3 linked regions of the Schizosaccharomyces pombe genome follow. The main gene of each other region encodes a partner of the protein of the gene in region 2 in a complex. Each region holds a gene or a part of one and is shown on either strand. Other genes may lie near its edges.

Evidence for each region.
Region 1: mrp21 (region 2) and cox24 share a complex: the UniProt entries of both Schizosaccharomyces pombe proteins name them as parts of the mitochondrial small ribosomal subunit.
Region 3: mrp21 (region 2) and rsm18 share a complex: the UniProt entries of both Schizosaccharomyces pombe proteins name them as parts of the mitochondrial small ribosomal subunit.

What each region holds. Positions count from the first base shown.
Region 1 is NC_003424.3:4,758,159-4,768,732, forward strand, and holds cox24 (mitochondrial 37S ribosomal protein mS38 ), read left to right. Parts: upstream 1-4,884; 5' UTR 4,885-4,920; coding exon 4,921-5,077; exon of another isoform or gene 5,078-5,119; coding exon 5,120-5,490; 3' UTR 5,491-6,064; downstream 6,065-10,574. Other genes in the region: proteasome assembly chaperone Ecm29, read left to right, coding at 1-1,888; SPOM_SPAC1782.02C (uncharacterized protein), read right to left, coding at 2,143-2,493, 2,594-2,728; splicing-associated factor Saf3, read left to right, coding at 3,649-4,716; ypa2 (serine/threonine-protein phosphatase 2A activator 2), read left to right, coding at 6,291-7,349; prohibitin Phb1, read right to left, coding at 7,808-8,656; qcr8 (ubiquinol-cytochrome-c reductase complex subunit 7), read left to right, coding at 8,952-8,983, 9,173-9,190, 9,236-9,449, 9,553-9,567; exonuclease Rex3, read right to left, coding at 9,749-10,574. UniProt on the Schizosaccharomyces pombe protein: Component of the mitochondrial ribosome (mitoribosome), a dedicated translation machinery responsible for the synthesis of mitochondrial genome-encoded proteins, including at least some of the essential transmembrane subunits of the mitochondrial respiratory chain.
Region 2 is NC_003423.3:613,813-624,118, forward strand, and holds mrp21 (mitochondrial 37S ribosomal protein bS21m), read right to left. Parts: upstream 4,362-10,306; 5' UTR 4,327-4,361; coding exon 4,251-4,326; intron 4,157-4,250; coding exon 3,867-4,156; 3' UTR 3,379-3,866; downstream 1-3,378. Other genes in the region: its8 (pig-N family GPI synthesis protein), read right to left, coding at 1-2,351, 2,504-2,654; U1 snRNP-associated protein Usp107, read left to right, coding at 4,542-4,560, 4,610-6,447, 6,497-6,727; ER uridine diphosphate-glucose transmembrane transporter Hut1, read right to left, coding at 6,823-7,791; DNA-directed RNA polymerase III complex subunit Rpc31, read left to right, coding at 8,520-9,152; rpl1601 (60S ribosomal protein uL13), read right to left, coding at 9,588-10,140, 10,187-10,227. UniProt on the Schizosaccharomyces pombe protein: Component of the mitochondrial ribosome (mitoribosome), a dedicated translation machinery responsible for the synthesis of mitochondrial genome-encoded proteins, including at least some of the essential transmembrane subunits of the mitochondrial respiratory chain.
Region 3 is NC_003421.2:717,309-727,292, reverse strand, and holds rsm18 (mitochondrial 37S ribosomal protein bS18m), read right to left. Parts: upstream 1,304-9,984; 5' UTR 1,284-1,303; coding exon 783-1,283; 3' UTR 501-782; downstream 1-500. Other genes in the region: SPOM_SPCC18B5.05C (phosphomethylpyrimidine kinase), read left to right, coding at 1-263; protein kinase Wee1, read right to left, coding at 2,426-5,059. UniProt on the Schizosaccharomyces pombe protein: Component of the mitochondrial ribosome (mitoribosome), a dedicated translation machinery responsible for the synthesis of mitochondrial genome-encoded proteins, including at least some of the essential transmembrane subunits of the mitochondrial respiratory chain.

The sequences.
Region 1 (10,574 bases), on a different chromosome or scaffold from region 2:
GGACACATTAGTACCTTCAGATCTCAATTTGGCATCTCATCGTAAATACTTAGTGGAGGATTGCCTCGAGTTTATGGGGAGCAGATCTTGGAGAGATAGGGAATCCAGTGTAAACACTTTGGTTAGTCTTCTTTCTAATGTTCCTGTGACCGAGTATCTAAATCAATTAGAGGATATATGGAACATGTCTTTTCGAACTCTTGATGATATTAAAGAGAGCGTTAGGGAAGCGTCCTTTCCACTTTGTAAGCTTTTAGCAAGATCAGTTATTCAATCTTTGGAGAAGACTTCACACAATACTAGCCCAAGCGGAATTTGCAAAGGCAAACGGATTGTTTCAGTAGCTTTACCATTTCTATTAAAACACGCTTATGATCAGGCTAAAGAAGTTCGTTCACTTACATACTCTACCATCACTGAACTTGTGCGTACTGGCAATTCTACTTTGACTTCGTTTGTGCCGGCCATTATGCAGGTTATGCTTGAATATTTGACAGAGTATGAATCAAAAGCTGCTACCTTTTTGGATTTTCACGCCAAAAATTACAGCATTAAACAAGAAAATATTGACAACGCCAGAACGTCAGCCGTTCAGAGCTCTTCAATGATGGATACGCTAGAGAAGTGTATCGGCCTTTTGGATGAAAGCTCAATGCAAACATTATATCCAATATTAAATAGAATGATTGCTAAACCTGGGGGTGTACCTACCAAAATAGGCAGCGCCCAAGTGGTGATGCTTTTAGTAATTCGTCGTGGACCACTCGTCAAGCAGTTTGCTTCAAAGCTGCTTCAATCCTTGAAATCTTCTTGCTTTGATAGAAATGCTGCAGTAAGTGATGCATTTGCATCTGCTATTGGCTATTTGTTACGAGTTTGCCCGTTGGAAATAGCTTCACAAACTTGTCAAGAAATCATCGATAAATTCTACGATGGAAATACCAACGAACAAATAATCAGTTCCAAATTGACCGTGTATGCGTCGAGATACGCACCCGACGTCTTCCTTAATCTTGGTTCTCTTTTTTTTCCTTTCATTTTTTTTGGGAAACATTCTTCTTCCATTTCGATAAATGGGGTTTTAAGTAAAGCATGGGATGAACTTTCATCTGCCGGAAGCAGTGTGAACCTGTATTCGGAAGAAATTATCCTTCTTATCCAAAAAAACTTAATTGTTACAAAATGGGATGTCAAACGTCCTGCTGCTGCTGCATTATTGGAATTTGTCAATACTTCGCGACTCACTTATCGACAAAATGATATCTACGTGCTTTTAAATGAAACAATGAAAGATAAAAGCTGGCCTGGGAAGGAATTACTGCTTGAGGCTTATGTTAAATTTTTAATTAAATATCCTGAGTTCATTAAATCGCAAAAAATGGAAGAAGTTCACCAAGTGATTGTTAGAGAATTTAAGAGACGCAATATTGTTTACAAAAGCCATGCAATGGAAAGTGTTGGTGAACTGTTATCTGATGAAAATTATAGAGAGCTTGATTTGTATGAACTATCATTAAATGAATGTGGTACATTTTTGCAGAAGGAATGGTTTGATAAAGATGATGAATTGAATCTTGAGGAAAAAATTGCGCTTCAGCGCAATAGCGTCTATGCCATGTTTAATTCCAGCAGACCTGGAAATAAGAATTGTAATGAGATGTTGCTAACTTACTTGTCAAATGCCCTTGATGAAAATTATTTACATTGGAATGTGAAATTAGCAATTCTGAAAAATGCTCCTCACTTAAAAAAGATAATGTCTAACGAGGAATTCTTACTGTATAAAGATATTCTTTATCGTTGTTACGAAGACAATCCGTCACCAAAAGCAAAAGATTATGCTGAAGTCATCTTCGGCGAAAATTATTTAAGTGTTTTAAGAAATTAGCTTCATTATATTTATAGCTAGTGATAAAGCTGATCAGCCATTTGAACTTTCTAAACACTCATTTCTAATGCTAACATTGTAAAGGATTAATTAAAGAATATTTTATACAAACCTTTGACTAATGTATTCATATTTGATTTTAAACCTAGAATGTAAGCGATTGATGTTGAAAATCCAATAACGATAATAATAGCTTTTACAACAAATAAACAACAAGTGAAGAATACTAGATGCCAGTCACTTGGTTTTTTTTTTTAAGATTCTTCAACTTCACGTGCTTTTCTAGCGGCTAATTCTTCGGCCTTTTTTTGGTTTTTCAAGTATTTAGCCCTCTCTTCGCTCATTGCTGCAAACATCCAAAACTGCCACATCAAATCGCAAAATGCAAAAGTAAAAGTAAGGCTGTTGCTAGCGATATGCTCTTTTTTGAGGTAAATAAAGCCGGTAAGGATAAAGTCAAATATAGCACGAATTGGAGTAATTCCACTGAAGAACAGGAAATTGCTTTGTAACAATGAGATAGTATAAATCATTCCAAGAATCAAAAATACCAAGCCGGACAATGCAAGAGTCGATAAGTTGTCTTGTGTTACTATCAATGGTTTCTAAATTATAATGGTCAGATATCACTTCAAACATTAATCAAGAAATTAAAAAAAAAAAAAAAATACTATCTACTAAAACAATAAAGTTATAATCACATACAACTTCCATAGAAGCACCAATTAACGCGACCAGTCCACTTTCTACTACAAACTTGGGATTCCATAAAAATCCAATGCCAGCAAATGTTAGCATACAACAATAAAAAAGAACTATCGCTCGAAAAGAGAACAACATCGTGAAATCAGAAGACGACAAATGAGCAACTATTAACTTCTAGAGACTGTACTCCGTGGTTTAGAAAGAGAATGTAAAACTAATAAGTTTTTTTCGGAAAGAAAATGTAGAGAGTTTCGATGAATATTTCGTTCGTACTTTTGTTTTCTCAACGTCGCACCAATTATATGCACCTGATTTTTGCTATTTTACGGTAGTATCAAGCTCTGGGAAGTATGTACTCTCAATTAATGGTTATATTACGATAGTTGAACTTAACTTCACTATTGTTGCTAGTTGCCAGCGCTCGCTATCTGTATTTAGAATTAGAAGGTGAATTGAATTGAGAAATATAATCAATATAACAAAATTACAAGTATACGTTTGGTTTTATTTCTTCAAAGTTATTTTGGTATGAAAAAGTGAGATGCTGACAGATTTCAAGTCAAGAACTCTATATTTTTTAAAACCACTTCAACGAATTTTAGGATCTTGAAAAGTACATCATTTTTACTAATTATAGGAGGGTATTTTCAAAGGATATATTGTATGTAGCATCTAAATAATTTTTATGAAGGTCTCAAAGGGTTGACAACGGTTGTTTTTGGAAATACATTACATTGACCATAAACTGAAACGATGTATTTTACAAAAGGCAATTCAATTTTACAAACTTTCAGCTAAATATAAATTATGCCAGGATTCTCGTTCATTTGACTAGAATGTGTGCTTGTGATATTTGTTCTCGCATTGGTAAGTGCCCCGAAACCTCTTTGTAAGTGGCACCGTACCACAAATTGCATACATACAATCTATTATATCAGATATACAGTTTTATCTTGGGTGGTAGATAATAGATATATAATTTCCAATTCATATTTATATTGTTTTACCGGTTGATTGAAATTTGCCAACCAATTTAATAAAAAGCGTTTGTCAAGATGCCAATAGATACACCGTTGATACCCCATAAACCTATTTCAAGATATCGCTCTGGTAGATTGGAAGGGCTGGAAAGTGAGTCTTCTTCTGAAAGTGATTATGAAGAAGTTTCCGATTCACATGATCAAGAAAACTCGATTTCTTCATCAAGACATGTTATTACTCCAGTATTCGAGAAAGAAGGAATATCTGAAACCAAAACGTCTTCTAATTTCCAAAACATTAACCCAGTCCAAACAATTGATAACTCTGCTTCAGAATATGAGACTGACGCATCATCGGCAGAAGGGGGATCTAACTCTGCAGCATCTAGTTCTGAAGAAGAAGACTCTTCTGATTCGGAATATGAGATGGAGCTGAGAAGGCGGACACTTCTTCTTCCGCCAAAATTTACTAGTAAAGTCATCAAAAATCGGGCAAAAGCCAATGAAGAAGATACTGAGGTGCTTAAAAAAGTGACTTCACAAAAAATATTAGAAGAGACTATAAAACGGGAATTACTATTGAAAGAAACTAAAAACAATAATGAATTATTAAATGATATCGATGATACCGATGGAATTGATCCGCAAAGTGAATATGAATTATGGAAATTAAGGCATTTGCTTAGGAAAAAGAGAGACAAGGAAAAGTCACTGGAATTAGAAAGGGAAAAGATGGCAATTGAAGAAAGAAGATTAATGAATTCTGAGGAACGCGAAGCCCAAGATTTGAAGGACGCTGAAGCAAGTCGGAGAGGAAAGAAAAAGTCATCTATGCAGTTCTTACAAAAGTACTATCATAAGGGTGCATTCTATCAAAACGAAGATATTGTGAGTAAAAGAGATTATTCAGAAGCCACAGAAGGGGAAGTTCTTAATAAAGATTTATTACCCAAACCTATGCAAATTAGGGGAGATCTTTTTGCGAAGGCAGGCCAAACACGCTGGACGCATTTGGCAAATGAAGATACTACAAAAGAAGGATCTGCTTGGTATGATCCTAAAAACCCAATCTTGCAAAAAAATTTGCATCGTCTCGGTGGACTTCATTCTGACAGCCCACTCTCGAAGCGAAAACGTACCTAACATCTGTATATACATAAGGACAATTTTGTATTTCATTTAGCATTAATTTTATTTAACATCACATATATATTTAAATACAACATTCTTCTGAATTAATATCAAATGTGCACCACCCTTCCTCTTTGTAAGTGTTTAGCATAAGCATACCAATTCTTACCTTCCCGCAGTGCAAAGAGTACAACACATTTTTCGCCTTGGTCACCCATGTTACGAAGAGGTGCGCTTTCCACAATATTAAAAGGTTTAAACGGCCTTTCACTGCGTAGTCCCATACCGATTTGGCATGTTTCAGCTTCTCCCGAAGTTGGGTCGAAATATAACCTACCAACGGTTCCTACAACTTCACACGTTTCATATCGTCGTAAGTAAATTAAATACTTCTATTTCTAACTTCATTGCGTAGAAATCGCAAAAGCAAATTTCTTTGCTGGATATCGACCTTTGTCAGCTAATCAAATATGTGTGCCTAAAGTTGAGTCCAAAACACAAGTTTCGCAATCGCAGGATGAGGAAGATCAACCCCAGGAATATGTGTTATCTTTAGAGGATGGCTATTTGTATGCTCAATCATTCTCTGCATCTGGATCCGTAACTCAAACTCAACCCGCTCGTATATCTACTCAAGTATGGGAACAAATATGTGATAAGCTGATTTCTATTACACCTTTAGATTTGACCAGTGTCAAACGAAAAAGAAAATTGAAAATGAATAAACATAAGTTCAAAAAGCGCTTACGCCGACAACGAGCACTTAGGAAACGTCTAGGAAAATGAGATTATTAGAACTTATTTTTACTCGGGTTATATTTTTAGGTTGGTTGGATTGAGAGTTTAAGCTGTAAACAAGCATTTTCAAAATGGCTGCAAGCATTTATGAGTCTCTATTTTTAACTTGGATATCAGTACCTCTCTTTTCTTAAGAAACGTTTAATCATTTAATGTTTACTTCAGGCTTTTTTAACAAGGAATACATTTTCTCTCATGTATATTCTATCCTTTAATGTTCCGGTATGAGACAATTAGGTCGGTGCTTTTTTCTTGCGATAAAATCATTAAACAATCCGCGTTTATTTAACTATTTTCAAAAAGCGGAGCACTTATTTGTTTATGCCGGCTATCTCCTTCATATCAATTAGCTTCCCATGTCTAGTACTATTACAATACCTCCATCTTTGGCCCTTCCTTTTTATATTTTTAAATATTTGTCGATGGCTAGAATTAATGACATGTACACTTCATGTGAATCATAAATATGTTGTTGTATATCAAGCAATTAATAAACGCTTATTACACTGTATCTGTTTACACATAGAATAAAAGAACACATTGGTATGAAAAATAACTTTAGTAGTCGAAATTATTTCCTTAAAACAATTTTGAAAAAAAAAAAAAAAATTTCTACATTTCTTTCTTTAAAAAATGTTCTCACTGATTATAGCTAATTACAATAATGAAATGTAACGTACTGACGACTGACATAACAAATAACAACATAAGGAATATTGAAGAGCGTCCAACTGTATAATTTTTAAGGCTTTTGTTAATCTTGTCTTAACCGATCAAGTTATGCCAACATGCTTTCTAGAGAAGAGCAAAACCGGTGTTTCGTTCCTGTCCGACGAATTTTAGACAATGAAGACTTAAAATTATTTAAAGAAGGAGATGCTTATAAGTTAATTGATTCGTTTATTTGTGATCTTGACGAAGCTGTGAAAGACAAGCCTATTTCAGCTTCAATTCCGCAAAGCTCATCAATAGAGCATGTATTAAATATACTAGATCGAGTTGGAGAAATTAAACAGGAAAATCCTGCAATTGATAATATGGGGTCGAGGTTTGGCAATCCTGCATTTCAATCATTTTACGATCAGGTATACATTGAAACACCAAAGTTGCACCAAGTATTTGGAATTGAGCATAATGCGGCGATGGAGGCAGGTCGATATTTTTATGAAAGCTTTGGAAACAGAAAGCGAATAGATTATGGAAGTGGTCATGAACTTTACTTTATGTCATGGTTACTAATTTTAAAGCAACTAGGCATTTTTACTAAAAATGATTATCCAGCATTGGTCGTTCGAGTTTTTGTTAAGTATGTTGAATTGATGAGGTCTTTGCAAATTTTTTATACTCTCGAACCAGCAGGATCTCATGGTGTATGGGGATTAGATGATTTTCATTTCCTCCCTTTTTTGTTTGGTGCAGCTCAGTTGGTTAATCATAAATATTTGCGTCCCAAACATGTTAGAGATCCAGAAATTTTGGAGATGTGTCGCGCTGATTATATGTACTTAGGTTATGTTTACTTTTTAAATAAGTTGAAGCCTTCTGTTTCACTACGTTTCCATTCTCCAATGATTGACGATATTTCTGCCGTAAAGACTTGGTCTAAAGTCAACGAAGGCATGATAAAAATGTATAGAGCAGAAGTTTTGGGTAAACTTCCTATAATGCAGCACTATCTTTTTGGCCATTTAATCCCAGCTTCACCTGGGATGTCTCCTGCTCCCCAAGACGGTGATGATTCTGAGGTGACACATGTTCATTCTCATTATGCTGACTGTTGTGGCATCAAGATACCAAGTGCGATCTCTGCTGCCAAAAATAATGGAAGTAGGATTCCGTTTGATTAAAAATTCTCGAGGGAAAAAAGGCGTTTTTAACGAATCTTCACGAATTTATGCGATACCCATATTTGTCTGTTTACTTTAAAAGTAATATCTAAAGTCAATAAAATTACCAACAGTACAGCATATTTGTTTATTTCATTATGCTAAAAAAACTCTACATAAACAATCAACCCTAATTTTAGCAGCATTAATATAGCCATTTCATCAGCACAAAACCCAAAATAATTGTCGTTTTAAAAATAAGGTGACAAATCATAATTTTGAGTTCTGAAATAAAAAAATTTGGAAATATTTATTTTCGTTAAGAACCCAAATTTGTCAAAATCATAATGCGTGGAAAAGTACAACTTTTATATAACATCTCTTTAATTTTAAAGGGATAATAAGATAAAGCTGATATGTTTAGGGGAGCTCGAATAAACCTTATGAATTTGCTGCTAGAAGCAGATACATGGAATGAATTAAGGATTTACATTAAGAAGCAACCCAGAACCACTGGAACTTTGGGCATTAGAACCAGCTCCAAAGGGAAGATAAGTGACCTGTGCACCTTTATTAGCAAGTGCAGTAGCCACCTCTTTACTTGTCTCGAGACGACGAATTTGGATTAAAGCGCCACCGGCTTTATCAAGTGCTTTGGAAACAATATCAGCCGCTTCTGCTTCACCCTCAGCGCGAATAACATTAGCTTGTCGCTCTTGTTCGGATTGTTCTACTAAAAATCTAGCACGCTCGGCTTCTTGTTGAGCAATTTGTTTTCTCTCTACGGCTTTCGTAAATTCTTTTCCAAAAGTCATATGAGTAATGGATACATCTTCCAACCGAATTCCAAATTCGGTAGCTCGTTGAACTAGTTCTTGGCGAATTTTGGCAGAAACTACTTCTCTTTGAGTAATGAGCTCTGCTGCATCAAACTGAGCAACTACGGATTTTAAAATTTCGTTTCCAATAGAAGGTAAGACACGCTCATCATAATCTAAGCCTAAATTTTGGTAAATTTGAGGAAGCATTCCAACTTCGGGACGGTGTAATACACGCAATGTTAAAGAAACCATCTGTAAATCTTTACTACCCGTAGTAGTTGCGATATTTCGTGGACGTGTGCGTACATCATAAACAATTGCCTTTTGTAACCATGGAATCAAAAAGTGTGTGCCCTCCTGAACAACCTGTTTCTGCACACCCGACAGACGGTCAAACAAAACTGCTCTTTTTCCCCCCGGTACATCGTAAATCGAAGATTGTAATAGAGTAAATCCAATACCTATTGGTATTGCATAACGTGCAACTCTCTCCAGTACTACAGCCATCTCTTTAATAGTACGTTGAGCGCTGGACTAAAAGACCAAACTGAAAGGGAAGTCCGTTTGAGCAAGACTAAGTATGACTTAACTGCAACCTCTAGGAAAATCTATATTCATGATTAATAAATACATGATCTTATTATTTAGAATTTTAATAGTAAAACTAAATAAAAATCTTGAATAAAAAACCAAGAATTTGTAAACGTCTGAATTATTATTGGTCTAGCAGACCCGCACACTTACCCTTAACAAACATCTGACTTTGTAACGGCAATCATCAATATATTATTGTTTTAACAAAATGGGTGGTGCTGCTGGAGGAAAAACTTATTTGTAAGTGCAACTTAAAGCAGTTTCTGTTTATAATGGGTTATATGACTTTTCTTTGACGCTTATAGCGTGAGACGGTGGACACAATTGGTGTTTATTTCGTAAAGCCATTTTCGTCAGCGAAGTTATATACATTCAAATAGCTGCTGAGAATATCATTGAACGTTTTTATTTATACTAACACATGAATAGAGGATGGTGGGGCCATCTGTAAGTGCTATAACAATTTGATACATTTTTACTTACTTTAATAAGAGGTGGACCTAAACAAAAAGGAATCATAACATATTCCCTTTCCCCATTTCAACAGAGACCAATGGCCGGCTTCTTCAAAACTTCTACGCAAAATATGTTTCGTCGCGTCATGACTGAAGGTCTATACGTAGCAATTCCGTTTGGAATAGCTTACTATATTTACTGTTGGGGGAAGGAGCGTAATGAATTCCTCAATTCCAAACATGGAAGACACGTAAGTTAATGACTGAAGAATCGATAAGCAGCTATGGTTTGCAGCATTTTTCTATACTTCTAAATTGTGTCAATAATTGTCATTTTACTAATATGTGGTTTAGTTGGTGGAGGAATAATGATGAGAATGAAGTATTCATTTTGGTAGAAGGATTTACAAAATTCTTCCCTACCCTTTCCTTATTGGGTTTACAATTACTATCTCTCTCCTCTCATTATGCTTAGTATCAGAAATCTATATATCCAACAAAATTACTTTGTGATATGATCTATCTCTTGAATTTGAAAACATTATTACTCTTAGTTTTGACTTTCATTTGATTTTGTCTTATAAAAGACAAGTTGTAATGCTGAAACAGCGTCTTCTTCGCTATCGTGTGTAGAAGTTTGTATTGTTGTTCCCAGATATTTTTTAGTCAAATATTTTAAGGAATATCTAAACGGCGGGCCTCTGGCATGCGTAAATAGAAGAGCAGTATCTATGACACGTTTGTGAATAAGCCTCATCGCATTCAAATCGTTTTCTAAACCATGTCCTATTAAAATTGTATTTTTATTCATGCCAAGTTCCTTTATTTTAATATACATTTGATCCATGGTAATTCCTGATTCTAATTCTTTGGCATCATGTATCCCGCTAAATCGAGTATTGAGACTCAAAATTTTGCCTTTAGGCTTTATAAACACATCCATAATAATGCTTTCCTTTGCTACCACCGTCAAACGAGCCAATTCCATCCCGTTCGTAGTGTAGCATAGTTCACAATCTAACGCGCAATGACTTAATTGCTTGCTATTTGTACTGTCTGGTAAGTAGGAAAATGGATGAACGCTAGCAAGATACGGAAGATGTCGGTATTTGAACACATGGTTGTCTTCTATAATACAACCAGACGAATCGCCCTCTTTTACACCACAGCAAGTGTATGTACGAATCTTCTCCCCCCCTTGCTTTTCACGAAACAGTTTTCCCCAATGATATGTACATGGTCCTCGAGGATCCGCAAACCGTGTACCACATCGATCGCATTCACGAAGTTCATCTGGCGGGTTTACTGGTGCAACGTCTCCAATATTATATCCCCATAGAATCAATTCTTCTTCCGAATGAACAAGTGACTCAAGT
Region 2 (10,306 bases):
TTGTGTTACCGGATTGAATACAGGAATAAAACGTTTCACCGAATCCAAAGCGAATGTGGAAAGTGAAGCCACGTTTCCTGTACCAAAAAATGCGACGTTAATAAATATGTAGAAGAAAAGGGAAATGCGAATATGAGAAAGAGATAAATGGAATTTTGCATCTTTCTTTCTGCTATATTCGGGATGTAGTTGTTCCGTATATTTTTGAAGTTCTGTTTCTAGTTCCATCCATAATCCTAATGTTATAAATAAAACAACATAGAAGAGTGCTTCAAAAGAAATAGATAACATGCACATTGTAGGCGAAAATGTGAGAAACAAAATAGCCAGACGGTCAAGAAAATAGTGTTTACAAGACCGAATATGATGACTTGGAATGATGTACGACGTTATGAAAAGTCCAAATGCAACTAAACGTAAAATTGGTGGTATGGCAATATTCCTTTGCAGACTGTCTGCAATTTTAAGCGTAACAGGGACAGTTGCCATAATAATAAGAACTTGTAAAACCAATTGTTTGTTTGTGACCGTTGAGCTATATTGAAATGCTTGATTTCGTCGGTAAAGAATATAAAAAACCCCAGCAACTGACATTGCAAATCCTCCAGCGAAAATAAATAATAACGATTCCTTTTTATTAACTGGTAAAATCGTAAAAAAGCATAATAAGCTCGTAAGCACTGACCACGAGACTGATATAGTTTTGTGAGAAAAAGCATAATCCGCATGAAGGAGCCATGGCCATGCGGCCAATCCCATTAAAATTACGGAAAATCCTTCGCGGTGAAAATAACTGTAAACGATAAATTGTAACAGACAGAGAATACACAACGAAATAAACAAAATTTTTAATAGAGAAAACCCATGCTTTTGCTTTGCAACTGTTAAAAAATTTTTGAAACCAAGTTTGGTATTTGGGAAAATTGAATGAATGAGTTGCAGAAATATGGTTGGGAAAAGAGCATACCCATAATAAAATGGTGGACTAGACTGGATATAAAAAAAGATGCAAATTAACAAAAAAGGAATATTAAATGCGACTCTCTTGACGACGGAAACAGGCTTTACTATTTTGGAGGATGGTTCTATGTTTAAGCTGAAGACAAAGCATATGACATATCCAATCCAACTCAAATAACCAAAGAAAACAATAGATCGAAGAAGAAGCCAATCGTAACGTTGTAGGTAACGTAGTCCAGAAAGAACCGTTTGGCTAAAGTGGAAACAATGCTCAATAGCAATTTCATATTCACCAGATTCTATGTCAGCAATAACTGAGTTGTAAAAGGATGCTTGTACCTCTGTATAGTTCCTCAAAGGAGAATATGGGCGAAAGAAAATACTAGTTTGATCCTTTGAGGCAGACTTTAAATTATATTGTTCACCAATTTCTAAAGCATTCATTAAGGCAACCTCAGCTTTGCGGCGAGAAGAGCAATCAAGATAATCCAAGGGTATTTGACCCACGGAATTCACAGGAAAATTTAAACCGACAAGGTAAGACATTAAAGCTGCAATATCTGCTTGTTGTATATCAATACGTTTTATCTCCGTCAAATTCCATGGCAAAGAATACTCGTCATGCCCATAATTCTTCTCATGAGTAGGACTTTGAATACCAGCACCCCAGGCAATGATGGGAGTACGTGTATTATCAAGGTTGCCATCACCATGACTTCCAAAGTCACTCATACCATGGTCTGCTGTAAAAACCCAGCTAGAGGCTCCGTCGTTATTGTAGTAGTTGTTCATCTTATCAACGAGTTCTTGAATTTTTCCATCTATATACTGTATGTTTTCGACATATTCAACTGAGTCAGGGTGTTTATTATGGCCAATTGTGTCAATGCCCAGTAAATGAAGGAAGAATACTATTTTATCCCGATGCAACATATCCCAAAGTTCCTTATCCTCTAAAGACTGAGCGAGAAGTTCATCTAGCCTATCAAAAACCCATTCGTCAAGAACAATTCCGTTGCTAGAGAAATCCTCCAATTCAGAAGAATACATGAATGTATCAACTCGAGATGGATCAGATGCACCTTCACTAAACATAGGCAAAATATCTTCGGATCCAAACGAATAAGTATGCCGACTCTGATTAAACACAGAATCGAAATTTACTGGATTTTTTTTCCAGCCTTTTGTGACGGCTGAAACATCTTCGTAAAAACCAGCTATTAGAGCAACATGTCCGGGGCGTGACTCGGTGGGAACACGAGTATGAGAAACACCGAAAGTACCGTTATTCTGAATAATTGATCTTAAAAATGGAGCGGCATATGTCTGCTCTTCTCCAATGACCTTTTCGGAATGTGGTTGTAATAGTTTATCAGGACGTAGTCCATCGCCTATAAGCATATTGGTTAGTAAAATAAGAAAAAGAAGGACAAGAAAAAAGTTGTACTATTTCTTGTTTTTTTTTCTAAATCCAAAACGAAAATATGACATTTTTTTCATTAAGCTCTATACACTAATTTCACTATTACAAATGTTTACTTACCAACAATTAGAAATAGGCGTTTAGCAGGAGCTTCGCCTGCAGAATACTGCTTCATGCCATGTATTAGAGGAGTTACGAAATAGATATCAAAAATGGATTTGAGAAAGACGACATGGAATAAAATCCCTAACAGCAAGAGGCGACCAAACATTGCGAAAATTTAAGCGTGAAACCACTACCACAATTGACTGGGAATACTAGGGGTTTTTGGCAAAAATTGGATAGATGCCAGGACGCTTCTTGGAAAAGAAGGATGCCCTAAACAAGGCAAGAAGTGTTTTGTTCTGGTGAAGTGCGTTTGAGTGTTGAGTCGTTACAAACATCAACAGAAGTCCCCTTTAATCTACCATTGGTTAAAATTCAGATGATCTACGCTCGATCTAATGAATAAGCGAACGCTAATGAATGTATACTGAGTTTTGTAATTAAGGATGCCGTGTTTGAATGCACTAATGAATAGTGGTAGCGCTCCATCGTATATTGTGAGCTATGGCCAATATGCGTAATTAGTTCTAGCTGGATGAAAGAGTAAATAATCAGAAATCTATTAAGGAAGTGATAAATTACTTTATGGTATGCAGTGCACAATAATGGGACTTATAGTCATCTGGTAATTAAGCAAAAAATGATTCTGTAAATGGATATTTTCGGTATTATTTTAATTTCCGTTGACAGAAATGTAAAATGGATGGTTATCATTTCATTGCTCAAATCCAAGATTAATGAAAATTCAGCGGTAAGCATATTTGGTTGTTACACGTTGAGAGTCGGTTTACTCATGACGATTATAATAAGATAAAGGGATACAACCATCAAATTGCTGCTACATGGCCAATAATAAAAAAATCATTTGCAATACGAAAGGAAACGAATTCATTTATTATAACATGCAGAAGTAATAACTTCCTGCGACCAGCATTAGTTTGAATAAATAGAGTAACAAACTCATCGATTTAACTAAGAAAATTGTTATAGGCTAGCAAAACAGAATAGTAATATTAGAGGGTAATGCAAACATTAAGCTCAATCTCGCAGTATTGTCAAACTGAAAAGATAAAAGAAGGTAGAGACAGTTATTAGACAATAAATCCTGTTAAGTAGAAAATCATAAGATAGGGGAGGGGTTAAGCAAAGATACCAGGAAAAATTTAGAAATGACAAAACAAAAAACGAATATTTCCCAAAAATGTCTAGCTCTTAAATCCGCGGAGAAGTAAAAAGCAATATATTATTTTACTTCAAAAGGGGGTTTTCGAGCATTCTCGTCTTAAATGAAAAGCTATGAGAACAACGATCTCCAAATACATTAATTTAATATGGATTTTCGTAACCAAGAAATAGAATGAAATGTTCGAAGAATCACTCAATAACCCCAACGACGCATGTTCTTTGCTAAGTTTACAAGTCGAACAATTCCAGCGCGGAACCTTGCCCTGTGTCTTTCTGAACGAACGCGGGATCGCTTTTCGGATGGTTTTTCATAAAATCTCTGTGAACGGAATAGCCTTGGCACATTATTCCTTTGACATATTCTATCAACTTGTCGAAATGCTCTTGTTAGACTATTTCCAACTGTCACACTTGCACCTAAATCTTTTGTTTCTGCTGCGGGTATCATAAAATGAAGCGAATCTTGGAACGCACCATGCTCCTCTAAATATCAATAAAGTATTAGCAGACAATAATCCAACAATCGAAAATCATATTCTTGAAAGACAATAGCAACTTCAATGGATTTTCTTCGTACCTTTTCTCTTTTGCAATTTCCTATTTGTATGTACCCATCTGACCCCTAGAACACCTGGGAAATAAGAACTGTTCATTTTAAATAGTTATTTTGCGTTTTCTTGGCAATTTGAGAAGCCTGAATCTCACCGCAGTACAACTGCATAAAGAATTCGTTAAATTGCCTTGAACATCGATTTTTTGCATTAGCGTAAAAGACATAAAATTCATAAACTAAAAATAGGATAATCACATTTACACTTCACTATATACCTTTACATGATACACATGAATCTGTTTTCCTCCAACAACTATGCAGCGGCAGAATACGCGTAAGTAATTTCAATTTCATTGCTAAAGAATTTATCTAATTTTATTTAGAGGCTGCCGGTATGCCAATGATGCCACAGGTTCCTATGGTTGGCAACGGCGTTCCATATGTCGTCCCAATCCAACCTGTATTCGCCCCTTTACCTCCTGATTACAGGAGCTTATACAAAAAATTGTATGGCCAAGGCGCTTTTTTGGTAGATAATCCTGTTGAGGCAAGTAGTCCCTATGATTTTTCGCAGCCAATTCTGAAGTTTGGTAAACTTCCCATAAAACAAGTTTTAAGAGATAATGAATCGCAACAAAAAGATAGAAAAAACTTACCCCGAAATCAAAAAAGTAATGAGATTCAGGAGAAACAGACGTTTCAAACACCTTCTTCAGAGAAGTCTACAACAGAAAGGGAATCGCGGCCGTTTGTCCCTCCAAATAGTCAACAAATGCGGCGGATGCTCTTTATTGGTAATATACCGAAAGAATTGGATGATTTTTGGATGGATAAAATTCTTCGATTGTCCGGGAAGCTGGCTTCTTGGCGAAGGGTTGCTGATGCAGATAACTCGATGACTTCGTTTGGATTTGCAGAGTTTGAATCAAATGAACAATTCAGTAGAGCATTAGAAGCATTAAATGATTTTGTTGTTCCACCTTTGTACGAAGGTGGTCCTTCAACTCGCTTGTCATTGATTACAGATGTTGAGAATGAGGGATTGTATCGTGAATGGCAAACGAGTCGTTATGCAAGAAATAAGCAGAAAGAGATAAACATTTTACAGCAAATTCGCTTTAACCTCGAAAGAATTTGTCAAGATATAGGCAATTTTGATGTCCGTTCTCGCATTGAAAGGGCAGCTCGACAGGCCCGAGAGAAAAACGAAAAATTACTACAAAATGTCAAAACTTCGGAAATTCCCATTAATGCTGCTGATTTAGAAGGAATTAATCCTGAATTATTACCGGTTATTGAAGAAGAAATACGATCCTTTCGCGATCAATCTGCTATGAAAAAACGAGAAAAACAAAGGTCTAAGGACGAGTATGCCAGTTTATATAAAGAGTATACACGAAAAGAACAAGAAAAGCTTCGAAAGCAAAATGATGATTTACAAAACCTTTTGTCAAAACATCGTATTTCACGTATCCCTATGTCTACAGTCAATGCCTTTTTAAGAGCAGAAGATAGCATTCCCGAGTCGTTCTCCGATGAACAAGCTTATTATGAAGAGAAGAGAAGGAAGGATCAATTGGAGGCTGAAGAGTATTACGCAAGGGAACGGCGCTGGATGAATCGTGAAAAGGCCCGAACTGCAGCTTTAGAACGAGAAGCTGCTCGTGAAGAAGAAGAACGTGTTAATAACACTTCCTTTGGTACTTATCTTTCGGAAAAATTAGCTTCTTTTGATGACGATGAGGAAGCTCGCGTATCTCGAGACGAATATTTTGTCGATCGTGCTGCTTGGATTAGACATCGTGCAGTTGCTCGTGCTCGAGAAGAAGACGCAGATGCTCTTGACAGAAAGGAGGAAGAAAGAGAACTACGTACCCGTGGAGAAGGTGCAACCGTTGAGACAGAGAATTATGTCGAAAATGGTAAGCTGGTGACTAGTGAAATGCCTCAACATGAAAATGGTCCCTTCAAAATCAAAATACAAACCAAGAAACCAGCTGTTCCTTCTGAAAGACGAGAATTTGGACTTCCGGAGAGACTGCTTTTGGAAGAAGAAGACGAAGAACCGCAAGGCTATTCTCCCAACCCTCAAAAACCAAAGCCTGCTATGGAAGAAAATGATGCCGAGAAGACGAAAAGACTTCGTTCACTTATTGAAAAGATACCTGTTGAAGCAGAAAGTCTGTGGGCACTACCAATTGACTGGAGCAAGGTTACTGAGGTTTGTGATTTTTTCAACTTTTATATGTATCTAAACTAACACATTATAGGATCTTCTAAAAGAAGAAATGCAAGCTTTTGTTACCAAGAAAATTATCGAGTATATCGGTATTCAAGAGGATTCACTTATCACATTTACCATTGATCATATCAGGCAACATAAAGGTGCGGAACAGTTAGTGTCTGAATTGGACCTTGCTCTCGCTGAAGATGCTCCAGAGTTTGTTAGCAAAGTATACCGATACTTGCATGTACTACTGATTTTACGTTCTGAAGCATAACGTACATATTTGGGTAAAGTTTTTATTTAATGGTGACGATTAAAAGTTTGTAATATGTATTTATAAGAAATTTTTTTAAAAAAATAAAGGCAAACCTATGATGCCTTTTTTTTCGCAGTAGAATTGTTGTTTAGTATTTTGAGGCCGGCTTCTAGGGAGATTCCCAAAAAGACCAATAAAATACCAAGCCACTGAATCGAAGATACAGTGTGATGAAAATGAAAAACACTAAGAAGCATGGTGAAAATTTTTCTTGTAAGTGTAATGGTAACGAGCGTTATGCTTCCAAATTTTTCAAGGGTGAAGAAAATGAATAATTGACCGACAGAACCTGTGCAAGCAAACAACAACATGTCTTTAAGGATGCTTGGATGTCTGTTTATAAAAGACAAAGGCTGCTGGTTGCAAAAAGGAGAGATTAAATACAGGCCATTTAAACATGCGATACCCAAGTTGACCGCAATCATCATGGTAACGCTTGATAATTTGTATTTACCAAAAACCTTGTCTTGAGTAGTATTAGTAATTCCGTCCATGAGCAAATTAAAAAATAAAAGCAGTAAGCCAATAGGACTATCATGCTCAGCATGTTTACCTTTGGAAGAAGTGTTTTGAAAATAACTAAAGATACTTACACCTGCTGTAATCATTGTAACAATCAGGTATTTGTGAGGAGGAAACTTTCGTTTGTAAACGAACACATGTAAAGCAATAACTGGAAGTAACTTGCATGATTTTCCCAGAATAACAGTAGGATAAGACAAATGAAACATGCTTGCATATCCAAAGTAAGAACTTAAGCTAGCCGATATGGCAATACTAGAAAAGTATCCTAAAAACTTAGGCTCTAGCAAGCCTCTAGCAGAAACACCATGAAACCAGTTCCAAAGCAACCCACAAAGGACTGTCATGAAGGACTGTGCTAAGCTAAGTAATGCAGGAGAAGAAAACCTTTCACCATCGTAAGGTCTTGTTATAATTTTCTCCTGCATAACTGCCCAAGAAAGAAATGAACCATAAATCCCAATCATGCAAACAAATAATTGTCGCATAAAGCCAGCCATTCTAAAGAAATTGATGAACCAAAGGTAAAAGGAAAGTAACAGAATTAACCAAAGAATGTAACTTTAACAAGGATAAAGCAAAAAGGGTCTTGAAAACTCGCTCAAGTGAAAGTGATAGTCGTAATACTTAAAACACGAAAATTAATACAGGAGTCTTTGTCTAATTTTCTCTAATAGGTTTACAACTTCAAGAATTAGGCAGCTCAGTTAGATCATCGTTTTCTTAGCTTTTGGTGTTGTGCCTTTTGGTTGAGTTTTCGAACACAAACACCCACACATAGCCAGACATTGGCAAGTACAAAGTGATTAATCAGAGACGCTTAATCACTTTTACATTGGTTATTTCTTTTTTGTTTTTTGTTTTAAAAAGCCGAGTTTCTTTCATCTATCTTTGGTGATCCTCTTTTAAATTTACTTGATATTTTCGTTAACCAACTTTTGGCACAATTTTGAAGCCCTATGGTTTGGTTTCTTCTCAAAATCTAGTTTTTTATTTAAATATTCTACATTTATTTAGTTCTTTTTGAAACCTATCACTTCTCATAGCTAAACTACAGCTCTTTTTAATTTTTTTCAACTTTTTGTTACTGTGGTGGGGTAATTGGCTTATTATTTTTGTTCCAATCAATAATTCAGAAAGAAGTATTTAAAAGTTTTTTCCATTGTTAATGTTAAACTCTCTGTCACACTAGTTCGAACGTTTGAACCCCATTCTTACAATCATCACAATGCGACGTGGAGCTCGTGGATCTACAAATTTGGGAGGAATGACATGGCAAGAAGTACTTGAGTTTAATGCCAATTCCACACCAACAAAGTTATACCCTGATCGCGATATACCACTTCAACGATCTATTCGACCTGAGGAGTTACTTGAACTCCGTTTTTACAAAGAGATACGAACTTCATTTCTAGATGAAAGTGCATTTTATATTCGAAGGAATCCAATTAGTGTTGTACAAAGGAATGAGGATGGACTAGTTCGTTACAGTGATCGAAATAAACCCAAACGGAAAAACGACAATTTATCGCTTTCAGACCTTGATTTGGATCCCAAGTTTTTTCCAGAGGAACTTCGCAAGACTCTGGGTGCAGCATCTGCCACCGGTCGTAAGAGAGCTCGAAGAAAACTTGATATGAAGACATTCATAGATTTCACTATCAAAGCACAAGATTTGAAAGATGAGTCGTCTGAGGCTGCTCATCCAAATATTGAAGAAGAACCAGACGAAGGGTTGGAAGAGGAAGATGAAGATTTTGGAGATGATGATGACAACGATTATGGTGAGAATTACTTTGACAATGGTGAAGGAGATGATTATGACGATTATGATGGTGATGAGGGTGCTATTTACGAATAGGGTAATTTCCATTCCATCCAAAATGCCAAGGCACCCATTGTCAAAGTTGTGTTTAGGGCTTCATTTTATTCAATATAATTGGATAATAGACCACTGGCCACGAGCTTATTCTTAAAAGAGATCATTATGCCTTCTTCATTTTTAGCAAACAGTGTATATGTATGCGAGGTTTTGCGGTATATTACATTGAAACAAAAGGATTAAAGGATATCATAAAATAGAAAATGTATTTAATGGATGATAATCGATAAATTAAACGAAAATCAAAACTTACTTTAGAAAACTACCTTATAGTAAATTGATTACAGTAAAATGGATGCTACACACACACGAATATATGCTACAAGTTCATCGAGAGTAAAGTGAGACGGTTAAAAACAGTGAATAATTAAAGGGAGACAACTACCTTTCTACCTAATAAATGAAAGGGAGTATTTAGTAGCCGAATTGGGAAAGTTTTTGGTTAACAGGAGAAGCTTCTTTGGCGGAAGCAATCTTCTTCTGCTTGGCGAGCTTAGCTTGGTAGAAAGCGGCACTCTTAACCTTTCTACGCTCTTCTAATTTAGCGACAATATCATTATATTTCCAGCCAACCTCGGAAGAGAGACGACCAACAGTGCAGTACTTGCGACCAGGCTTCAAGCGCAAAACACGAAGGGCAGCGGGGACAACGACACGCTTTTGCTTGTCAAATGGAGGAGGGATACCCTCAACGGCTTGAAGGTGCTCCAAAGCAGCTTGGCCACGAGCGGTCTTGTGGGGAAGCATACCACGTACAGCCTTTTGGAAAATACGAGAGGGTGCGCGGAAATGGAAAGCACCACGACTAGGGTTGTAACGGCATGCCTTGCGCAAATAAGCAAGGTACTTAAGTTTGTTACGGAAAAAGTGACCAGAGATGTTCAATTCCTCGCAACGAACCACTACAACTTTTTGCCCACCCAAAAGCTGCTTAGCAACGACCGATGCCAAACGACCGAGAAGATGGCTATTCATGTTAGTATTACAGCTTTAAATTTATTCTGTTTACATACCCTTTGGCGTCAATAACAACAACTTTTTGAAATTCAGACATATTGGTGGTCTCTGATAATACACATTTAGAAAAGCAGCAAGTTCGGTGTATGTGTGACGGTTGTTCCAACATTAACCCT
Region 3 (9,984 bases), on a different chromosome or scaffold from region 2:
GTTGCTCTCTTACAGCTGCCATTGCATCGAATCTGGCTTGTAATATACCACCTTTGCAAGCCATTCACGAAGCTTTATATTCAATCGAGTGGGCCATTCAAAGGGTTCATAAAAAGAGTTCAGATCCCTATAAGAGTGCTCAGCTATTTACAGCTTTAGGTCATTCTTCTAAGTTCTCAGGATCTCTAATTTCGTTAAAGTCGGAGAATTACATACCACAAGCTGATTTAACTTCTGTTCTTTTATCTCATATACCTTCATGAAAAGCCCTATTGCATATATTTTGAACTAGCTCCATGATGCACTCATCGTTTTAATATCGTTCTATAAAACCCAATTCTTTTCTAGATGGATTTTTTCTTCTTTTGCATATAATTATTTGTTCTTCCCTCTCTGTCCTCTTTAGATAAGTAAAATAACTACTACTAGATAATTTTTTTAATACATTGTATCGACTAACGCTCCTCCTACAAAAAAGTTCAATCAAGCTAAATTAAAAATTAAAGATAACAAAGATATTATATTTTTAAAGCCATTAAAAAATGTTAGCCACTAATATTAGCAGCGGTTTATGATTTTGTGTCATGTATATTTTAATCCAAAAAAGACTATTCAAAACCAAAGTACACCTGAAATATTAATTAACGTGAGCTAATCATTTAAAAAGTAAAGTAGATCGTTTATCGTTCCTTAAGAAAAAAAAAGTAAGGGACAGTGGGTAAGTATATCTACCAATGTGATGAAATGAGATATAGAACGTCCTTGTTAATATTCAGTACAATTTAATTTTCCGAATAAACTGATTTGTATTTCGTCGGCATTATACCAGCAGCTCGAGCCCTTCGGATAGCCCTAGAAAGAAGTCGTTGATTTTTTGCTGTTAGGCCAGTATCACCTCTGGGTTTAATACGACCAAGTTCAGTAACGAATCTTGACAATATTACGGGGTTTTTCCAATAATTCATAGGGTTTTCGTTCACCGTCTTAAAGCAATCTTCTCTTACTGGTTCATAGAATTTGGCTTGATTTTTCGCCTTTACCGTTTCAAACAGTAAATCATTGGGAGAGTAAATATCACCTTCTTCTACGGAGGCTGATAAATATGATGGAATATTTGAGCGAACTCTTCTCTGAAATCCTACATTTGAAGATGCTTCAGAATTTCTCTCATTAAATTTTCGATTGTCCGAAAACCCTCTTCGCGTAGAGTTATTAGATTGTATGAGATTGCATAAAATAAATCCTCTGTTTGGAGCTGGAGAAAATATTCGTCTCCCAAGCATTTTTCTCCCGTGCTGTTGTCAAAGTAATATTTCAATGTTTGAAGGTGTTTAGTGAAATAATGAGACACTCGTTAAATAGTTTATAGCTTATGCTTGTGTCTGATAAATGAAAACGTGATGATACCTGAATTTTCTAACTTTTCTGTTTCAAAATAAATGTTTATTTAGATATGAAGTGTTAAACGGGTCATTAAAATCCTATACTAATTTGAAGGCATCACAAACTTGAGCATATACACAGCTTTCACAAGCATAAAAAAAAAGGGAAATTAAAAATTACAGAAGTGGAACTAAGCATAACGTTAACATTATTACTAATTATTATATGATATGATAATAATAAAAAATCTAACGGGTTATTAAACTTCGTTAGTAAATCGTGGCATTTTCCATAAACATAACCAATTATTTGCCATTCAGCAAGATCGTAAACTATGTACAAGAATAATAGGCAGTGTCATCGATCGATCTAAATTATTATGAAAACAGAAGTCAAAAAAAAGTGGATAAACAGTCGGGATTCGAACTTTATGCTAGCAAAGATGAGTAAATGCAACATATCAAGTCGATAACAAACGAGTGACATAAGAAATTAGACAATAAAATAGATGAAAAATAGGAATAATAACTCCTCTGAAGCCGAGTCTACATGTTAGAGAAAGGATTTGCGATATAAAAAACAATCGTTCACTAACATTTTTTCAGTAGACAAAGCACGTACAGTATGTGCGGCGTCAAGGCTTTAAATTAAGGAAACATTCTAGTTCCCCATATCAAGAACTGAATGGCATGTTTCCATAGCCATCATCATATTGCCTCAGATATAATTAACCGGATATTTGACTGAAGAAAACCAAATAGATAATCCGGTGAAAAGGCAAAAAATTAAATAGAAAAACTATCATCTAATAATTTTTTAAAATTTTTTAAAATTTAAGGGTTCGGTTAAAACGGACACGTATCCTTAAATAAAAAAAAAGCATTTAATGAACCAAAATTAATTATAAGCACCAATCACTAAACTTTTCGTTTAAAAATAATTAAAGTGTTTGCTTTTATGAAGCTAAACAGATTTTGGAAGCCATTCCCTTATTTCGCAATTTCGCAGTAATAAACATTGAGAACAAGAGTCTCTAAAAGGTTTAAACATTCACCTGCCAATCTTCCATCATTTGATCACCCTGGGGGTTAGAAGAAGATCCATGAATACCTTCATAAATTATGGCTCCGGCTTTTCTACGCATTTCAACCCAGCAAACCTCATCAGTTGCCAAAATTTGATCTATGGTAGGTCGGTTCCTAGGCTCTGGAGATAGCATCCACTCTACAACGCGATCAAGTCCCCCTTGGCCTATTATACTATTAGCCGGTGTTTCACGAGAAGAAGAAGTAAGAGATGAACCGTTGTCTGTTGAAGAAAGTCGAGGAGCATCTGATAAGTCACCGGAACGTAATTTCTGCCAAGACTGACCGTTATCAGGAAGAACAATGTTAGCAGCAGCTTCGAAGACTGTGATACCCAAACTGAAAATATCAGCAGGTTTATCATACAAATGGTTAGCAAGAACCTCAGGCGCAATGTATTCACAATCACCTTCTCTTTCCATGCCTCTCGGAACAGGCCAAACACTGGCCATTCCAAAATCACCAATCTTCAAGGTACCCTCGAATGTTATCATAACATTAGCAGGCTTTAAATCCAAATGAACATAATTTTTATGATGAATAAACTGTAGCCCAAGAGCTACTTCTACTAATATTTTCCATACCCTAAATTCATCGAGCCTTGAAAGTTGTCCTTGCTCTTCAAGAAAACGATCCAAACTACCATTTTCACACAATTCGACTTGCATATAAAGAAACCCCCCATGTTCCCATGAGTCCATAAGCTCTACAATGTGATCATGGCCTTTAAGGGCTCGTTGAATAGAGACTTCCTGAAGTAGTCGATTACGTTCTTTTGGTCCACTAAACTTTACCTTGAGCTTTTTCACTGCATACTTTAAAGTTTTTTCCACAGGGTCTTCAACTTGAAAAACCTCACTAAACTCTCCACTTCCTAGTAAAGTAACATTTCTAAACCGTGTAAGCAAATGTGAAGTAGATGATGATACTTTGGACGAGGTGAGAGCAGAAGGAAAGGATAATGTAAAGCTTGAAGAAGAGGGTTGAGATACATCAGCTTCTTCCTCCATGGCAAATGACATTTGATTATTATTTCTCGATTTGATAGGCGAAGGTTGCCGACCGTCCATGTGAATGGAAACAGTATTTTCAAACGCAAATGGGTTACGAGTAGGCGTAGCGGGACACCTCTGATTAGATAGAAATGGTAATCCATAGTTGTGAGAAGTTTTTACAGCAGAAGGAGGAGGATCGAACCTCAAAAAGTCCATGGAACTTTTCTCCAACTGAATAGTAGGAATGGAATTGTGATTTGTAGGAGTGTTTTCCCGTTGAATAAAATAAGAGTCGGTTTGTGTATTGGAAGGAGTCGAGGGTGATGGAGGCGAATCTGTGGAGGAAGAATGTGGACGAACAAAGGTAGAGGGTTTTGAAGGAGTACTAGGAGGGAGAGGTGTAAAGTTAATATTCTTTCGCGGACGATGTTGCTTGGATAAAAGACCTGTACTCATAAAAACTTGGGAAGGAGGTTTGATTTGTTGAAAGGGAGTAGTTAACAACTCAGATGAGGGTGGGTTAGGTAGAGTAGCATTGGGGAAAAGGGAGAATGAATTAGAAGAGGAGTTAACCATACTGTTATCAGAAAAGAGGGAAGATTCATTTTGTTGGGTTTGAGGATGTGAGCGATTAGAAGGGATGAAACTTTTCATCATAAATGATGCATCCTTAGAGCTATTTCGTGAATGGTTGTTAGATACGGCAGACTTAGTTTGGCTGGAGGCAAACCCAAGCTTGCGTGCAGTAAGTGGACGAGCGGTAGGAGAAAACAAAGAGGATTGAGCGGAGTTAGAAGGGAAATGATTAGAGGTAGTGTGTCGAGAGGATGGTATGGACGAAAAAAGGGTAGAAGGATTAGCATTATTTGAATTAGGAGGAGCGGGTGTGGAAGTCGATAAAAAATTAGGCGATGAAGTTGCAAAAGGAGAGAAGGAGCCCGATGCAAATGGAGAGATGTGGGAATTTGAGATACGAAAAGAATCAAAATTGTTTTTCTTTCGCAGCTTCTGAGCAGGAGTAGAAGGAGGTATGTGTTGAGAGCTTTGAAGGAAGGGAGATGGAGAGTGGGAAGGAGGGGACATTGCACCGTTTGACATGGAGGAAGAAAAGAAACTTCGTTTTACACCAGTAGATGCATTTTTATGAATGGGAAACGCACGAACGTCTGAGGGTGAAGGGGCAGTATGGTGGATGGGATTAGCCACCTGGGCAACAGGAGAAAGAGATGGAGAATCACCTAACCGAGAGGAAGAGCGTGATACCAGATTGGGTCTATCAAAAAGGGAAGGCCGCCGAGGTACAGGTTGTGCCTGTATCTGGGGTTGTGAATGTGTAAAAGAAGGAGGAGAAAGAGGGTGAAGAGGGGCGGCATGAGAGAAGGAAGGGGAGGAAGTGGTCTGTTTGCGAGGACCGAATAAGCTAGTGAAAGAGGTATTTGGCTTTTGCGAAGAGGTAGATGAAGTAGAATTGTTAGCATCATACAGGCTCGATGGAGTTGGAGGAGCGAGCAAAGTAGCACGATTTAGATTCATGGAGCGTTGGGACCGCCGTAAGCCATAAGATCTATGACTGCTGGTATTAGAAGAAGAGCTCATGTTTTCTGTATGGAAAATGTGGCAATTTAACAAAAAAATAGATATGAAATTTTTGATTTAATTAAATTGAATTGGAATGCAAACGGAACAGATGTACGAACGAACAATCGATAAACGAGGGAAGTGCGAAGCAACTAGGATTTCGTAGGTAAAGCGTAATGCACAGTTGTAAATGGAATAAAGAAAAGGGAGAAAACAAAATGAAAAAGAAAATTCCAACCGATATTCTGAAGGCCTACCACCTCAACAAAAGAGAAGAAATTGAGCCAATGCTCGTAATATTGTCAAAACGAAGGAGAAACGTCAAAAAAAGAGAAATGTTTAATAAATTAAAAATAAATAAGAAGAAAACAAAGGCAAGAGAGCAAAAAAGCTCTCGTTTGCTTCAACGAATTATGTCTATTAATAAGTAAAGTGGTATGTTGAGGTTACGACGAAGATATTGCACCCACCTACTTTTACTAGTACAAAGGGGGGGTTCAAAGCCGCTATAGCCTTAAAGTGTCCAATCCGGTATTAGGGTATGCGTTCCACTCCAGTATTCCTTTAAAGCTGAGTGAGTGAAATTAAGCGATAGCTTATTGTGGAGCACTGAGCCGAGACGTTCCCTAGAAGAAGCCAAAAACAACGAAAAAAGGTTAGCAAACACGGAAGGAAAACAAAGAAACGGAACCACAAAATTTTCAGCAAATTGAACGTCTAAAGCCTATAAAGAAAGAAGCAGATAAGGACGCTTAACAGCTGATTAAAAGGGAGGGGAAACTATTTTTCATAAATAAGGAGAGAATGCGAAAATCACGTCGGAAGGCCGGGTTGAAGGAGGAAGTATTATACCGAAACTGGGCAAAAAATCGTAATTCGTTGGTTAGTGATATTGCTTTCTCCTAGCTAAATATGTATAGTACAGCGTAGTGTAGTGTAGTGTAAGGTAGTTTTGGGATCAGAGCAGCGAGAAGTAGTGAGAGTTGGTGGTGAAAAAAATGTAAACAGAAACAGGAAACGAGTGGATGAGCCGAAACTACGAGTTTTTGAAGGAGATGGTTTTAATGAATGTCCCTTTTTCTTCTTCGCTGCTACAAAAGAAAAAAAAATGGGGAAAAGACAAGAAATATGAATAAGAATGGAAGTAGCTTACTTTTCCGATGGAAGGGAAATGTACCAAAGTAATGACGAAAAGGTCACACACTGGAGACTAACTAGAAGCGGTAAGTGCACGTTAGTATGTCGATCTGTCCATATATATAAAGTAAATAATCAAAGGAAAGATGTAAAATTGGAAATAAATGAGAAAGAAAAGATATGGAAATACGATCCCTAAAATAACATGCAAAAAACAGAAACGGTTCAGATGAATTCAGGCACTTGGCATGGTGAGTGGTGGAAAGAAAGACAGTGTGATGTTGATGAATGAAGGAATAACCAGTAAACAAATGAGAGATCCCGTTAGCGACGGAGACAAAAAAGCGGAAGGAAAACGAAGAGATGAAAAGAGGTGGTGTGAATGGTTTAGCCTGGATTTTGATTTAAAGGAGATGGTAAAAAAAAAAAAATTGTGGAATTAATGTTATTGTTGTTTTAGTAAAAGTAGTGGTGGGTCAATAGAAATAAAATTGGTTTCACTTTGCAAAATGACAATACAATAAAAGTCGTTTAAAAAAAAAAAAAAAAAAAAAAGGGAGAAAAATCACCTTTTAGTCTTTACATGATTCTTCTATTATCTATCGATTCGAACATTTAAGGGTTGCATGGGATAAAGCAGTGCTAGTGTTAAAAGGTAAATAGAAAAAGAGAAGAGAGAAAAGGAATGCAAAAAATTAACAGGGAAGGAAAAAAAGTGCCTCTAAGCATTCAAAAGAGAAGCTAAAATTAAAATAATAAACATGAAATGACTTAAAGAATGATAATTAAAGTTGTTTTATATATCAACGAATATTCTTTTTTCTTGAACATTAGGAAATTGTGTTAGGATTCAGATATCGAAAGGTATGGAAAAAAAAAGGGGGAGACGATAGGAGCAGAAGAAAGTGAAAGGGGGGCAAAGAAGTAAAAAGACAAGAATTAAAAATATTCGGATTTGCAAAAAAAGGAAAAGTCAAGTGTTCTTTTTTTAGAATCCAAACCATCCAAAGTGGAACATTTTAAGAAAGTACAGTGAGAATAATGGTAAATCAGATAGGCGAAGTATCATAGAATTTGTTAGTTACAATGAATGAAACAATCAATAGATAGAGGGAATGATTAATCATCTCAATCTTCTCTCGACATAGAATAAAATAGGTTTATTAAATATATTAAACCGAATTTAAATAGTTGCTCAAAAACTCATTTATCTGGCAAAATTTACGAAAACATTGTCAAATTGCAAGAGAAGCACTAGACTATAGCATAGCTGTTTGAAATTAAAAAAAAAAAATAAAAAAATAAAAAAATAAATAAATAAAACTTAAAAAAAGAAGAAGAAGAAAAGAACCGAAGGAGAAAAATATTTAAAATAAATTAAAAATATACACACATTTTTTTTTTTTTTTTTAGAGCCTACTTACTAATCTCTTTACACACACAAATAACACAGATTCATTTAGTGCTAGACGAACGAATCGAATGCAAGTTAATTCCTTGTTTGTCACATAAGGAGCTCTAAATTTATTCACTATTCATCACTAAATGATATACTATTAAATACATAGATGAAATTCATCAAAGTTATAAGGCAAAAGAATTTCCAGAAAATGTAGTCTGAATTAAGCATAACTTTCTTGAAGAACTACATAGGTTTCATTCATCATAATATCAATACACCACCTTTTTACTATTACCACTACATGTTTATAGATAATCTGCACTACCAATAATTTTCATAAACAAATACTTTTTTTTGTGTACTGTTTGCCTTTAAATTTGATGGCTGTTTCAGATTTTTTTTTCTTTTGTGCTTTCATTCAACTGTTCTGTATTTGTAATGTAAAAACTAATAACTTGGCCAACAAACAACGACTGCTTGTTCTTGTCACGTTTGGAATTCCTTGGACAGATTCATGATTTCAGTTTCATCCATTTTTCAGTTAAGGAAAAAGGTGGGAATTTACCTGTACTGGAAAATTAATCCACTCATTCATTGATACCATTCCACAATTATTTAACTTAACATAGGGTTTGTGTGGTATTACGAAGCGATTATTTGAAAGCTGGCGGATATATGACAAGGCGCAAAGTCCTAGTGCAAATTTGAAAGTAAGACAATAATCGTACGCTGACTAAGGTTGTTATTACTTAAGCAAGCTTACATAAGCACGATACACTACCGTTTATATTTATTGTAACAAGGTTATAATTGTATTATTGCTAAAATCGTTAATCACCCATAATGAGCCAAAAACTGGTTCTTGTCACCGGGATTACAGGATTTATTGGAGCTCATGTTGCTAAACAACTGCTACAAGCTGGATATCATGTGCGCGGTACGGTGAGAAGCATGGAAAAAGCGAATGAACTTGTTCGATTGAATCCTGATTTTAAGGATGAAGTGGAATTTGTAATTGTCAAGGAATTGTCGATCCTAATGCATTCGAAGATGCCATAAAAAATGTGGATTACGTTTGTCATGTAGCGTCTCCATTGTTTGTTGATAATATTACTGACAACAAAACACAACTCTTGGATCCAGCAGTTAAAGGCACACTAAGTGTCTTAGAGGCAGCTCATGGTGAGAAAAGTGTGAAGCGCATTGTGATTACTTCCTCTTTTGCCGCCATTATTAATCTCGAAATCGACGTTAATAGCGGTAAAGTGTATACGGAGAAGGATTGGAATCCCATCACGTATGAGCAGGGAATAAGTACGAAAGACGGAACCTTTGCGTATTGTGCGTCAAAGACTTGTGCCGAAAGGGCCGCTAGAGATTATGTAGCGCAAAAGCGCTCTTCGTTTGATATTTGCACAGTCAATCCTCCTTATGTGTTTGGACCGCCAATTCAACCTATGAAGAACATGGACTCACTAAACACATCGAATTTGGTGATATGGAGCTTGATCAATGGTTCCAAAGCCAATCCTTCTTCACCTTATTATTATTACGTGGATGTTCGCGATTTAGCAGCGGCTCATGTATTAGCGCTAGAAAACAAAAAATTATCGAACGGTCGAATGATTGCATGCAAGGGATTATTCACTTCAGAGGAAATTTGCAGCACACTTCGTAATCACTTTCCTGACAAGCAACAAGTTATTTCCAAGCCTGAAAAAGCGTCTATCAATCCTGGATTCATGGTATTGGATGGTTCTTACTCAAGGTCGATTGGATTGAAGTATCGCTCCGATGAGGAATGCTTTGTTGACACTGCTAAAAAGTTGTGGGAACGTGCTGAGGAGTTTCAAAAAAGTTAGAAAAAAAAATAAGAAAATGATTTCATGTGGCTCAGAGAGTCAATTGCTGAGGGTCGTCGAATTGGTAAACGTGATTATTACGAGGTATGAGTTAAACACAAATGTCAATAGAAAAATGAACGAGTAGAAGTTGGTTGGAAGAGAATTTAAATAAAAAAAAAAAAAAAAAAAAATTGGATGAGAAGAAATTTTAGTTACTAGCACATACACATGAATTCAAAATACGAGAAAGACACTAAATGGAATAAACGCTGGCGAGTTTATAGAATGTATCAAAATGTTTAGTAGCACACTATTTAGCGCAACAACAAAAAGATCGACACTTTTGTAATTGTGAAATACTGCAATGTGTCGCTGCATCGCTATGCCCGCATTCACGCTAGACGAGATAGTGGAAGTGGAAAATAGCGTTCACGAGCGAAGTGTATGCTACGAGGTGAATGGGTGTTTTTTTATTCCAAATTACGCTAGTTATCGCATTTTGTTTAATAAAATATTAATAAAATACAAAGCAGTGCGAAATGACACGTTAAAATGCTTAA